Drosophila melanogaster: one gene and its partner. The protein of the gene in region 2 interacts with the protein of the main gene of each other region in a pairwise test. Each region holds a gene or a part of one and is shown on either strand. Other genes may lie near its edges.

The links. Proteins that work in one complex are often made in the same cells at the same time.
Region 1: the proteins of Cdep (region 2) and CG3457 interact in a two-hybrid assay, tested with the Drosophila melanogaster proteins (one large-scale study listed by BioGRID).

The regions. Positions count from the first base shown.
Region 1 is NC_004354.4:2,184,004-2,189,419, reverse strand, and holds CG3457 (uncharacterized protein), read right to left. Parts: upstream 1,601-5,416; 5' UTR 1,524-1,600; coding exon 945-1,523; 3' UTR 501-944; downstream 1-500. Other genes in the region: CG17777 (uncharacterized protein), read right to left, coding at 1,952-2,272, 2,480-2,491; CG17776 (uncharacterized protein), read right to left, coding at 4,243-4,455; Nmd3 (Nonsense-mediated mRNA 3), read left to right, coding at 4,882-5,416.
Region 2 is NT_033777.3:4,907,171-4,915,564, forward strand, and holds the start of Cdep (Chondrocyte-derived ezrin-like domain containing protein), read left to right. Parts: upstream 1-3,381; 5' UTR 3,382-3,915; intron 3,916-8,394. Other genes in the region: Gnf1 (germ line transcription factor 1), read left to right, coding at 1-949, 1,012-1,920, 1,979-2,756.

The sequences.
Region 1 (5,416 bases), on a different chromosome or scaffold from region 2:
TTTGATGAACCGGCACGTGGCACGTGATGCTACCGGTCGATCCTTGGGTCACGGTCACCGATGCCGCTTGGGATGCCGATACCGATGCGCACGGTACACGGATGCGGAAGCTGAGACGGGCACTTGTACCACGGAACACAGTAACCAAAGCCGTTGGATATCGAACCTAGGCGAGTAATTAATTGACAATCGCTTGGCCGTGGACTCCAGCGACCCGTAATTGGCGGAAGGCCGGCCATCCGCCATCCGCTATCCGCTATCCACTTTCCGTCGTCCGTTTGCCGTGCTCCGTACTGCCGAGCCGAGCCGAATCGGATGGGATTGAGTTCAAACCGCCGTTTTGGCCAGCCTGCCGCCCGAAAACAGTATGGCCACGTATTTTGAATGCAGCGCCGATGCCTGCGAGCTTTTCAGCTTTTGAGGGAAGCTTTCGTGGAGGCAGCTCCGTTGGAGGCCACCCCCTCCTCCGCTTTGTACGGCTCAAGTCACGTTGCACGTACCCCTTGGGCGCTTGAATAGCATCTCGTTCCACAACAGTCCCTAGTGCCCACTCCACTGCGTCCACCTGTTGCCGGTGGCCATAAGCCACTTGTTGTCGTCTGCCGCTTGCCTAGCTCCTTCTGAGGAGAGCCAATTAGGAGGACCCGCATTCCCCACTCGATATAATCCGATCGCACGTCCTCCCGATTAAAAGGCCGCAAAACCATTTACCGTAGTTAACCAAATCTATAAAATGCATATGTTTCGATTTGAAGATGACATAAGCGACATATAACCTTGCAAACTATTATTATTAGCAGCTAGGTAAGTGGAGCATGCAATGGGTTATTATACTTGTTTACGTATACAAATTGTTATGATAAATGGAATGTGAAATGGGGGGGGGGGGGGTGGGCTTTGAGTGCAGCTGCGCTATGTTTTCATAACGCGATAAGCGGTCAGGATTACACTCCTCCCCTAGCCCCATCCTCCTCCTCCACCTCTTGCAGTTGGTCCTGCTCCTCCGGCTGGGTATCAACGGTATCGTTGGTGTCCGCATTCAGGTCCACCCAGTTGTCATCGCTGATTTCGTCAATGGTATCCGTGTCATCCACTACGGCCGCCACGCTCACGTCATCCGTGGAGCCGGAATTAGTGGTGCCAGTGGTTGTGGTGGCCGTGACGGCGGACGAGGGTCTCAGTATCTCCTCCTGAGTGGCCGGAGTCGGGGTCGTCGACGTGGTGTACGATGCGGAGGAGGGTGTCTCCGAACGGTAGCCCATTCCCGTAATGTACGACCCGGACCCAGAACCCGAGCCCGATCCAGACCCTGATCCGGATCCCGATGCGGTTTCCGTGGCCGTTTCCGTGTTGGAACTGCAACTTGCCGTTGTTCCCGAAGTGGAGGCGTCGTCTCCGGGGAGGGCGTCCTGAGAAAGCCTAGGTCGCGGGGCGCCCTTTAACTTGTTCTTTTGGCGGGCAACCTCATAGTCCTTGAGATCGGACAGCTTGAGTGTGATTTTCTGCAGATCGCGCTTCAGCATCTCGAAGTCGAATTCCTGATTTTTGCTGATGATCCGAAAGACTGGTGGTCACGCGCCGATCGCAATTAGAACAGTGACTTTTGTATAACAGTCACTGGGCCAATAGCGGCTTTATACCTTCACTGGCCCCCATAGAGTGACCGAAAATCACTTTTACTGTCATACATATGCAATGTAATCGATTCTTTATTGTTGAGTAGGATTTAACTTTGTTTACATATGTACATATATCATATTTGTACTACATCCAACCCAAATTCAAAGACATGCGAGTAATGTATTCGCTATTTGCAGTACATTTATATTGCGGTGAATGATGGGGGAAAACCAGTACATATACATATACGAATGATGGTGCAGTGATGAGCATGGAGCGATCGAGAAAAAAAAAACAGTATGCATTACGATCTTGGGGATAGGTAGTGGTCCTAGTAGAAGCCGTAGTGGCCATGGTGGTACGGATAGTAGCCGTGGTGTCCGCCGTAGTAGGGCGCCGCATGGACGTATCCGTAGCCGCCGTAGTAGGGACTGCTCAGTCCACCGTAGCCGCCGTAGTGACCGTGTCCATAGGCACCGTATCCGCCGTATCCGCCGTAGCCGCCATAGCCGTGGCCGAACCCGTAGATGCCTCTCTTCTCCGTCTTCTTCTCATCCACGGCGGATGGCTCCGGCTCCAGAGCTTCAGGAGCAGGCTCCGAAACTGCTGCCCAGGTGCTCATGAAGCAAATGGCCAGGATGACGAACACGCACTGCACAGAGAAAAAAAGGTTCGGTATATGAAACATTTGAAACGATGTTAACAAATGATTTGTTTCAAATTGTAGCCAGAGCACTTCCAGCAATTTTAAATAACTTGTATTTTGTTGGATAAACTGTCACTCAAAAAAAAGTCCACTCGTTTGCTTGACCGGTGTCCTGGTATCCTGGTATCCTAATGTCCTGGTGTTGCTGCTTACCAAGAACTTCATGTTGCTGCTGCAGATGTTGCTAGTGGCTGTTGGCTGGTTGACTTGATGGGTAGGGCGCCAGGCGAGGTTTGTTGATGGCTGCCAGTGGCCCGACGCTTTTATAGTCACCCGGCTTGGCTTATTGTTGCCAGTTGCTGCTACAGTTGCAATTATGCAAACTGACAATAACGGCGGCAGCAGCAGCAGCAGCAGCGATTGTTGCAGCTGAATTGAATGCATGACGGGTTGAGGACTTGAAACCGAATATTGTTTATGCTGCGGAGCCAAAAGGTCATCCATCCGCTCATCCGGCGGAGGAGAACTTGGCGGAGGATTGCAGTGGGGGGAGTGAGGTGGAGTGGGCGTGGAAACTAACGATATCGGTTATAATTGCCAGCGTAGTCGAAATTCTAAGATCCCAGGCTCGTTGGGTAACCGAAGTGGGGCAGCAACGCGATCCACAAGCAACGTGCAACACGAGACACTCGACGCGTTCCACAATCACCAAGTGCCCCTCTCGTACACGGTATGCATATCGTGTAACACTTTCACTGCCAGATCGGATGGCCAGCAGCGCCCAAAAGGCGCACTATTACCTAAGCTCGTTCAGAAGCTGGCCAAATGCTGGGATGCCACTGGCCCCGTGGGAATCGCATATGCGCGCCAGCATTATACACAAATTACAAACAATTGCACGTTTGGCAGCGTTTTGGCATTTTAATTAAGCTGCCAGACAGCTGAGATCTCTGCCAGATCATTTCCAATGCAAAGTCTTATCGACAGAATATCCAAAGTGCACGACTTTGACGGAGACCTCTGGCTTAAGGGGTATATTGGGACAAGGATCGGTGACCAGGTCAATGGTCATTAGTTTTAATGGGCTTGAAACTAGGTTGAAGAGATCTTCTATTCAGAGGAGCACAGCTTTTGCTTAATATACTAAAGTTTTAAAACAATTTGATAGCCATTTGGGCAGACGACTCTGTTCTGCGCGTTCCATTATTCTCGATCACTTCCGTCTGCCGGGGGTACTTGCTACCCAGTACCCAGTGCCGTGCCCACACAATAAAGGACGACCTTGACCGCAGTGGCAATTGCAAATCGCAATTGCAGTCTGCTGCGGCTGTTGCTTTTGCTGCTCCGAGTTCCCAAGTCATGAATGAAGCAACGCCGGAGGCAACATTGTTGAATGAAGCATGCAAAAGATTTTCCCAATCGACGACGTCTCGCCATCTCTGGCCAAAAGTGGGTGGCACCGCCATTGTCTCCTTCTCCCCGCGGTTGTTTTCGTATCCACATCGTTTAATATTTATGCTCTGCCCATTGGAGGTGAATGCACGCGAGACGCGTTGGGCAAGCGGAAGACCAAGCAGCCAAGGGGTTTGGTCTATGGACTGGGACCTGGTCACGATCCGGAGATGACAACATATTTGATTGCCAGCTAAATTATAATTCTTGACTAAGTCTAGTCCGCCGAACGGGTCGATGTCCATGTCGCTGTCGATTGATTGATTTCCCATTGTAGCCGACCAGTTTGATTTACGGCCCAGACGGCTAATTGCGCATTGTTGGCTTGGTTCCAGGGTTAGATCTTGAATCTGGAATCTTACAATCCCACCGGGCCTGCCGACGGTCCTCCACTTTGGCCAGCTGTCCGAGGTTACACAACAACAACCGGCGTTGGCCGTTTTCAGCTGAAAATGCTTACATTTCCTTACAGTTTATTGCGCTTAACAGACATTTAACAATTAAAGGGGCGGAGGAGGGCGCGCCTAGTACTTCAGTTCCTTGGCCTTGTCGTGGGCTCCCTCGTCCAGGAGCTTCAGCTCCGCCTGCTGCTTCTCCGGTCGGATGACCGTGCAGTAGTGGTAGTAGCGCATTCCCAGGATGTAGGTGCCGTACAGGGTGACTCCAATGCAGGCATACACCGCGCCGCGGTGCAGCTTGTCCAGCAGCGTGTTGGTGTTAATCGGCTTCTTCTGCATGGCGGCAAATCCCTTCCAAGTCCATAAAAGTTTCCGGCAGTCGAGTCCGTCGCCTCAGCTGGTCTGTCAGTGATGACGGCGGCGAATGTATCGATAATTGGGCGTACATTTACTAGCCAAAATAAAGATGAAGACAGTCGAATGAGTACTATATTTTTAAGTGAATTTTAGGAAATCGTTCCAAATGTCCCATTTAGCTTTGAGTCTCACTCGTTTAACGTCGTTTTATCGTTAATCTCACTTTTAGCTACTCTAGCTGGAAAAGGCTTAACTTAAATCGCCGATTAATAATATCGCTGATCTCTGGCCAATCGATATACACCTATACGCACGTGTTTACAAATTTGTGTACTTCGTGGGAATATTTCATCGTATTCTACAACGCCATTGTGAAATAGCTGGACCGAATAGACCTCCGGAGGATTCATGGATCACGAATACGTTGGGGTTAGCCCGCTGGGCGCAGCGGACGGCAAGGGCGCCGGATCGAACGCCGTCATCCTGTGCTGCGAGTGCGGAGTGGCCATCCAGCCGAATCCGGCCAACATGTGCGTCACCTGCCTGCGCAACCATGTCGACATCACGGAGAACATCCCAAAGCAGGCCGTGCTCCACTTCTGTCGTAATTGCGAGCGCTATCTGCAACCGCCGAACGAGTGGATACAGGCCGCCTTGGAGTCCCGCGAACTCTTGGCCATTTGCCTTAAGAAGCTAAAAGGCCTGAAGGAAGTGAAGTTGGTGGATGCCGGCTTCATCTGGACAGAACAGCACTCCAAGCGCATAAAGGTGAAGCTGACTGTGCATGGGGAGATCATCGGGGGAACGATGCTCCAGCAGGTATTCGTGGTGGAGTTCACTGTGCAGAACCAGATGTGCAACGACTGCCATCGGACCGAGGCCAAGGACTTCTGGCGCTGCCTCGTGCAGGTTCGTCAGCGGGCCGAGAACAAGAAAACCTTTT
Region 2 (8,394 bases):
AAGTTGATCTGGACGAGAGTATCAAAGAGGCTGCCCCCGAAAAAAAGGTTCACTCGATAACCAGGAGCTCTCCCTCGCCTAAAAGAGCAAAGAACAGCAGCCCGGAACCGCCAAAACCCAAGTCAACAAAATCCAAAGCCACCACTCCGCGTGTGAAGAAGGAGAAACCTGCGGCAGATCTAGAATCCAGTGTCCTAACAGACGAGGAACGCCACGAGCGTAAACGTGCTTCCGCCGTGCTCTACCAGAAGTACAAAAACCGCAGTTCGTGCCTGAACCCCGGCAGCAAAGAAATTCCAAAGGGATCCCCGGATTGTCTGAGTGGCTTAACCTTTGTCGTAACCGGAGTCCTCGAGTCCATGGAACGAGAGGAGGCGGAGTCCGTGATCAAGGAGTATGGCGGAAAGGTGATGACCGTGGTTGGAAAGAAACTCAAGTATCTGGTCGTAGGAGAAGAGGCTGGACCAAAGAAATTAGCTGTGGCTGAGGAACTCAATATACCCATTCTCAGCGAGGACGGGCTCTTCGATCTAATCAGGGAGAAATCAGGAATCGCTAAGCAGGTAAAGGAAGAGAAGAAAAGCCCGAAGAAGGAGCACAGCTCCGAGGAGAAAGGGAAAAAGGAAGTCAAGACTTCTAGAAGGTCCAGTGATAAAAAGGAGAAGGAAGCCACTAAACTGAAATATGGCGAGAAGCATGATATCGCCAAACATAAAGTCAAGGAAGAACACACTTCCCCGAAGGAGACGAAGGATAAGCTTAATGATGTACCAGCTGTTACCTTGAAAGTAAAAAAAGAGCCCAGCTCCCAGAAAGAACACCCTCCGTCGCCAAGAACTGCCGATCTGAAGACTCTGGATGTGGTCGGGATGGCCTGGGTGGACAAGCACAAGCCTACGAGCATAAAAGAAATCGTTGGCCAGGCAGGAGCCGCCAGCAACGTGACCAAGTGAGTAACCTAAATGTATAAATGGTAGCTTCCACTTTCAAAGTTATATATTTATTATACAGTCACAATTTGAAACTGAAAGCCAAACAGGAGAGGGTTAAAGTTTTACATTATTTTAATTTTCCTAGGCTGATGAACTGGTTGTCCAAGTGGTATGTTAACCATGATGGAAACAAGAAGCCCCAACGGCCCAATCCTTGGGCCAAGAACGACGACGGCAGCTTCTACAAGGCGGCCCTACTTTCGGGACCCCCTGGAATAGGAAAGACCACGACGGCGACTCTGGTAGTGAAGGAGCTTGGCTTCGATGCGGTGGAGTTCAACGCCTCCGACACACGCAGCAAACGCTTGCTCAAGGATGAAGTGTCCACGCTGCTGAGCAACAAATCCCTCTCCGGTTACTTTACAGGGCAAGGCCAAGCGGTCTCCCGCAAGCATGTGCTCATAATGGACGAAGTTGATGGCATGGCCGGTAACGAGGACCGTGGTGGAATGCAGGAGCTGATTGCCTTGATCAAGGATAGCTCTATTCCAATTATTTGCATGTGTAATGATCGCAACCATCCAAAAATTCGATCCCTGGTTAACTATTGCTACGATCTGCGATTTCAGAGGCCTCGCCTCGAGCAAATCAAAGGGAAAATAATGAGCATCTGCTTTAAGGAAAAAGTAAAGATATCACCGGCCAAAGTGGAAGAAATCATAGCGGCTACCAACAACGATATTCGGCAATCCATTAACCACATTGCCCTGCTGAGCGCCAAGGAAGACGCTTCCCAAAAGTCAGGGCAGCAGGTTGCCACCAAGGATCTGAAGCTGGGACCCTGGGAGGTGGTGCGAAAAGTCTTCACCGCGGACGAGCACAAACACATGTCTTTTGCCGACAAGAGCGACCTTTTCTTTCACGACTACAGCCTGGCCCCGCTCTTTGTGCAGCAAAACTATCTGCAGGTCCTACCACAGGGAAACAAGTAAGTCTAGTTTACCTAAGCCAAGGGCGTACCCATTCACCAACTTCACTCTTTGCAGAAAGGATGTCCTGGCAAAGGTGGCAGCTACGGCAGATGCCCTAAGCTTGGGTGACCTTGTTGAAAAGCGTATTCGTGCGAATTCTGCTTGGAGTCTTCTACCCACTCAGGCCTTTTTCAGCTCGGTCCTTCCTGGCGAGCACATGTGTGGCCACTTCACTGGACAGATTAACTTTCCCGGGTGGCTGGGCAAGAATTCCAAGTCTGGAAAACGTGCCAGGCTGGCCCAGGAGCTGCATGATCATACTAGGGTCTGCACCTCGGGCTCAAGGCTATCAGTGAGGCTGGATTACGCCCCCTTCCTTCTGGATAATATTGTGCGACCTCTTGCAAAGGATGGGCAGGAGGGTGTGCCCGCTGCTTTAGACGTTATGAAGGATTACCATCTACTCCGTGAGGATCTGGACTCGCTGGTCGAGCTTACATCCTGGCCCGGCAAGAAATCCCCACTGGACGCAGTGGATGGGAGAGTAAAAGCCGCTTTAACGCGATCCTACAACAAGGAGGTTATGGCATACTCCTATTCCGCTCAAGCAGGCATCAAAAAGAAGAAATCAGAGGCTGCTGGAGCGGATGACGATTACTTGGACGAGGGTCCGGGCGAAGAGGACGGAGCTGGTGGCCACTTATCATCAGAGGAAGACGAGGACAAGGACAACCTAGAGCTGGATAGTTTGATCAAAGCCAAAAAGAGGACAACTACGTCAAAAGCGTCTGGTGGATCCAAAAAGGCTACATCTTCCACGGCTTCAAAGTCTAAGGCCAAGGCCAAAAAGTGAATGCACTAACGATTTCCTATATTATATGATGATTTTTTTGCCATCAAATTTCCCATTTGTAAGTAGTTTTTGTTTAAAATCTCATGAATGGCCGGCACTGGCCGACACTGTTTATACTGCTGAAAATATATATTTACCAATAAAATATGTGCTTGAATTGCAAAACATTTTATTATAACACTGAGTGGCGTAGGTGTAAACTAAAAAGGGAAAAATTGGTAATAAAATAATTGTCTGTATGAATAATACTACGAAAGAATTGAGATGATGATTTTTTAATTGATCAATTGTTTGCTTTAACTGTATAAGGATCAAGAGCGCGAATATGTCAAGCTCAAATTTATTTAAAAAAAATTGTTGGTAACGCGATCAGTGATGGTCACTCCATGCTCTATAATTTAAACTAATTTGTACTATCGTACATTTACATTTGTGAAAAATACGTTTACAATTTAAAAATTAATTTAAGTCTTTAATTTATACTTAATTAATTATTATAAATATATTATAACATAATAACGTTTTTGGCCTGAAACAAATCGATGATGTTGCGAAGCACAATCGATAATGCAGCAATCGATGTTTCGGCAGCCCTGCTATCTCGTGGTAGCGCCAAAGAGTATCGTATCTGAGTTTTTTCCCCGATGTCAACGCGAACGGATGCACGTACTGGGCAGCGGAAAATGCAGTGAAAATTGCCAGAAAAGTCAGGGGACAGCATGTGCGGGCAAATTCAAGCGAAGCATTCGATTAACTGCCAGAGTGCGCGATCCACTTGATTTTCCGGGAATACCTGCCACGTTCGACGGGTTTCGCGTTCTATATTTTTCGCACTGAAAATTCTCGGCTTACGCGCGCCTGTGTGTGTGGGAGTGTGTATCTGTGTATCCGTGTAAAGGGCGCAGCTCGGCGAAAAACAACACCCATAAATGAGCGAAGCCAGCCTGGCGTCGCGCTTTTAATCAAATTAAAATTAATTGTAGTTCAAAGCGTCGAACTCGTCCGCTTTTTTTTGTTTTTTGCGCAACTCTCTGAAAATTCAATAAGCACGTAAATTCCAGCACACACACAACGACTTCAACCGCGCACACACACAGATACAACGCTGCCGAGCTGGGCGAGCGAACGCGAGAGCGAGAGCGAGCGCGCGATAGAGCAGGCAAGTGCAGACTCCGATTCCCTCCCACACCCCCTGCCCAAGCACCCACCCCATTGCTGTTGTTGTTGGGCCAGGCCAGGCCAGTCACAAGGACACTCTCAGCCTCCCAGCTCACGCATACATGCTCACGCCCGAGAGCCAGGGTTTTGCGCTCCTCTCCCCTTCCCATTCCCCTTGCGCTCGGTAAACAGGTGCCGCGCCTTGTACCGTTACTTTGCCTGCCTTCGGAGGGCTTCGTGCTGCGTGTTTTGGCTACACATGTTTACCTTTCAGCACTCGCCCAAACGTCATTGCAGTGAGTGTGAATCCATCCAGGGGTCAAGTGGGGGGAGTGTTGTGAATGAGGGATTCGAATAAACGAATTTTCCAGCTCATAGCTGTCGCCAATACTCCTTTCACGCAGCATGCAAATTGAGATTTACTCATAATGTATTTTTCGCCCACAAGCCATTTGTCATAAAAACGGTAAAGAATATGAATGTGATTTTAGGTTTATCACATTTCGATAGAACTTATGATGCCACTTGTAAGATAGGATATGCTATAACATCCAATTTGGATGTAAAGATAGCGTTTTTTTTTTTTATACGGGAAAAGAGGAAGAATGGCTCTGAAATGCTTATTTTGCTCCCAGTCGAAGTACACATTGTCCACCTATTAATATATTCAAGCTGAATACAATTTCCTTGCTTTTTCGCCTTTCGCCTTTCATCTTACCCGCATCCTGCCTCATTTTTATCGCCCTTTTCACATTTCTCTGCACACAGCGCTCCATATTCAGGTCATTGCATTTGTTCGACGTTCCACCCCATCGAAACACCACCCACTTCTCGCCCTTCCCCACGCCCCCTCTGACACATTATGCTGCGATCGTCCTGCGTGTGAATGTTTACTTTTCAATAGATTTCGCTTTCGTTCACTCGAAAGTCTGTCAGTGGACAAGTTCTTGTTATTTTCCGCCTCATCGGCGGACCCTGCATTTTTATCGGCTCATGAGGTCAGCGCATTTTTCTGTGCCATGGGACGTATCTCTATTTGCATAGTGACGAAACTCTTCAATAATAAACTCCGCAAAAAGACCGAAACTGATATCAGAGACCTTCCGATAAATGGTTTGCGATAAGGCAGAACAAGGAACACAGTTACAGCTGGGCACCCCTAACGGGTTCAGTATCTTTATCCAGACTGCAAAAACAATAGCCAGAAATGAAATAGATACACCATGGGTGTACATGGGTGAAAGACAGTTGTTCTTGCGTAAGACGACCTCTGTTCATATTTTGGTTGAATGCGAGGTCTGTCTGTAAAAATATAGTATAGTTCGACATACAGGAGGTTTCACTGTACACCACACATATGCAGCACTCTGTTTACACCGCTTCTTATCAGCAGAACGCGGTGTGTGTGGGAGAACCGCTTGGGGCGGGCTAGCGGCACAGATAAGCCAACGCCGACAACACACTTGACTGAAGAGAGCGGAACCGAAGCTGTCAAAATACCCGTTTGTTAGCAAGCTGGTCGTTGAGTTTTTGGCTAGTCAACAGCCCTTCTGACATCATCATTGGGGCTCTTTTAGGATGGATCAAAGTCCCGGCCTAAAAGTTTGCCGTGTAGAAAACTAGGCATATTCTTCATATTCAGTACGTAGTTTGTAGGGTAAACTGTTGGAATATATTTTCCACTTATGACAATGTCGAAGCCATTACACGGATGCAATGGATAAATATAGGCCGAGACAAGAACAACTTGACTTGGCTTGTTGGCCAAAAGAGAACGAGATATTCGTGCAGACAAAATGAGTTAATAGTGGACTCTGGAGAGACTATCTGTCGTTGAATCCCAGAGATACACAGATACAACACACAAAGTCCGCTGATGGCCGCATTGGCCCGGCTAAATTAAGTTGCAAGCCCACTTCCAGCCTATGCCCACATAAATATTTAATTTGCGATCTCAATTCGCTTTGTTGGCTTTCTGAGTGTGTTTTTTTTTTGTTTCATGTAAGCCAGCAAAAGCGGAGAACATATAACAAAATGAGGGTGGTCGTTGATGCGCGGTTCACCCTTGTTCTCCTTTGTTTTTCGGCGATTTAATTGAAATTTGTTTACTCGCCAGTGATTTACACTCGTTAGCAGGTTTTCTGGTTTTGGTCAAAGCATAAAACCATTACCATTTCCGTTTTCAGCTGCCTGAAAATCGAAATGTATCTGGTGTCACGGCCCGTCCGTTATGTGCTGAATATAAATTAAGCACAGTCAATGTGCTTGATCCCCTGTACAGTGGACTCAGGCAAAACCACCAACAGTGCTTCGCAATAAATAATCAATAATCAAAAGTTTTTTTTATTGCTTTCGTGAAGGCTTGTTAACGACGAAATACTTTGCTTACTTCTTACTTTTTCTTACTACTTTGCTACTTCTTGTAGTGCTATAAACATTTACATGGCATTTATTTGAAAGATTCCTTTAGAATATGGTAGCAATCCTCTGTAGGAGAGTGTTCAATATCGTTTGTATAGCGTGCTACTCAATTTTCCTATACAAGATAATTTTCTTTTTTCAAAATAAAACCAGGATTTGAAGAACTTTTACCATTTCTTCTCCATGCATATGATTTTGCCACCTTTAGGCGGCTTTTATCGTACTTTGTTCAACAAATTGCCATAATTTGTTGTAAATTCCAATCAAGTGGTTGCCACTAGTGGTTCGCATGGCGGGTGCGGCGGTTCGGGTCGGTCTAATCAATACCTAGAGCCACTTGTTTGTTCGTTCAGTCGAAGTCTTGTCCAGCTGTCACTTAAATGGTTTGTGTGTATGTGTATGTGAACATTATTTTCCACTTCGTACTGAGCAGGGGTCTTGTTCACATGCGACTATGCGAGTATCTGTGGATATCGGGGTATCTGCGAGCCACCCGTGACAATACTAATTGATTTCCCCACACAGACACTGTCCCTTTTGAGTTTTCTTCTGCGGTGTGTTGCGGTTGTTCATAAGTTTCCTCTTATTATATTATATTATTGCCATTGCTGGCTTCGTGGTGTGTGGTGCAAACTGGCAAATAATTCGTTAAACTACGGATTACGTAGCTTGGGAAACAGTTTTTGCGGCTGATAGCATTGCTAAAAGGAAAACCTTTCATTATAAATGTAACAAAATTTAAGGAGCGCAGTGCATCGAACAACGGTTGCAGATAGCAATTAAGCAATTCCGGCTATTCTGGCTATAAGGAACATCATATGCTCACTTGCTGAATAGTAGAAATGCAGACGAAGAAGGGCTGGCTCAGGCAAAAATTTGCCACACACATGTCCCTCTGCATATACAAACATATACATATGTATGTGCTCCTATATTATTCTGATGCTGTACCCCCCTATACCCTATACATACCACCAAGTGTGTGCCATAAAGAAAGGCTGTATACCGTGAAGTAAACAAAGAGCCGAGTCATATAAAAGAGCAACTGCCTGTGGTTGTATGGTATGGTATGGGCATGCGTGAGGGGCGGGGGCGGGGGACTTTAAATAAATATTTTAATGAACTCCACTAAAGGCTGTGCCGACGCCTAAAAAGAGTTGACTTTGAAACGCACTGACTGGCTGCCAGTAGCAGCAACTACAAGAAAGTCCGCCTGGCTGACAGACAAGCGGAGTGCATCCTTTTATACTCACATGCTCGCACATCAATGCAGTGCGTGCACTTTATTTTTAGACCACTGTAGAACGTGGAAAAAATGCAAGAGGTGCAGGGAAATGGAGGGAGTCCAATACCATGTACCATCTACCATCTACCATGTGGGATGTAAAAAAGATTTTTTCGTTGAAGTTTTAATTTTTCTTTCTCTGCTTGTTCACAAACACCCAGCTGCAATTGTTGTTCTTTGGGCTTCGGCTTCTTCCCCGGCAAACTGTCTTATTTTTCGAAGAAATCTCCCAATGATTCATCTCTTTCACCCGGACAAGTCGTGCGGGAATTATGAAAGATGCTGGAGATACATTTTAATTGAGATGCACACAAAATAGATTAATAAAATTGAGTTCAAGATTGCACAGGCCTAAATTGAAAGTCGACACGGTCAATATATTTAAGGAGATCTGGGGAGTAGGGCCCAATTGAAAGGAAAATTTTGTTCAAGTCGCTAAATGGGGCTGTCAATAGTGGACAAACAAATGTTATATAGAGCGTTGTGTGCTCATGAGATATCGATTATCGAGTAGATTAAGATATACGAGTGTAACATAAGTGTATATCAAATGCAAATTACCTAGATGCTTTTGACGATTCCCATGTAGTTAGTTAGTTTATAGTGCAGCTCAGAGAGCAAAAGATTGATGATAAGTGCTGTACGCTTTACGATACATTTCTGACATTAACTTTTTTCATCAAATATTAAATAAGAAACCACGCCCCATTTCCGACCTTCTCCTACACACCTAGAATGGCGAACGAAACTTAATTAATAAACCATGAATTTATG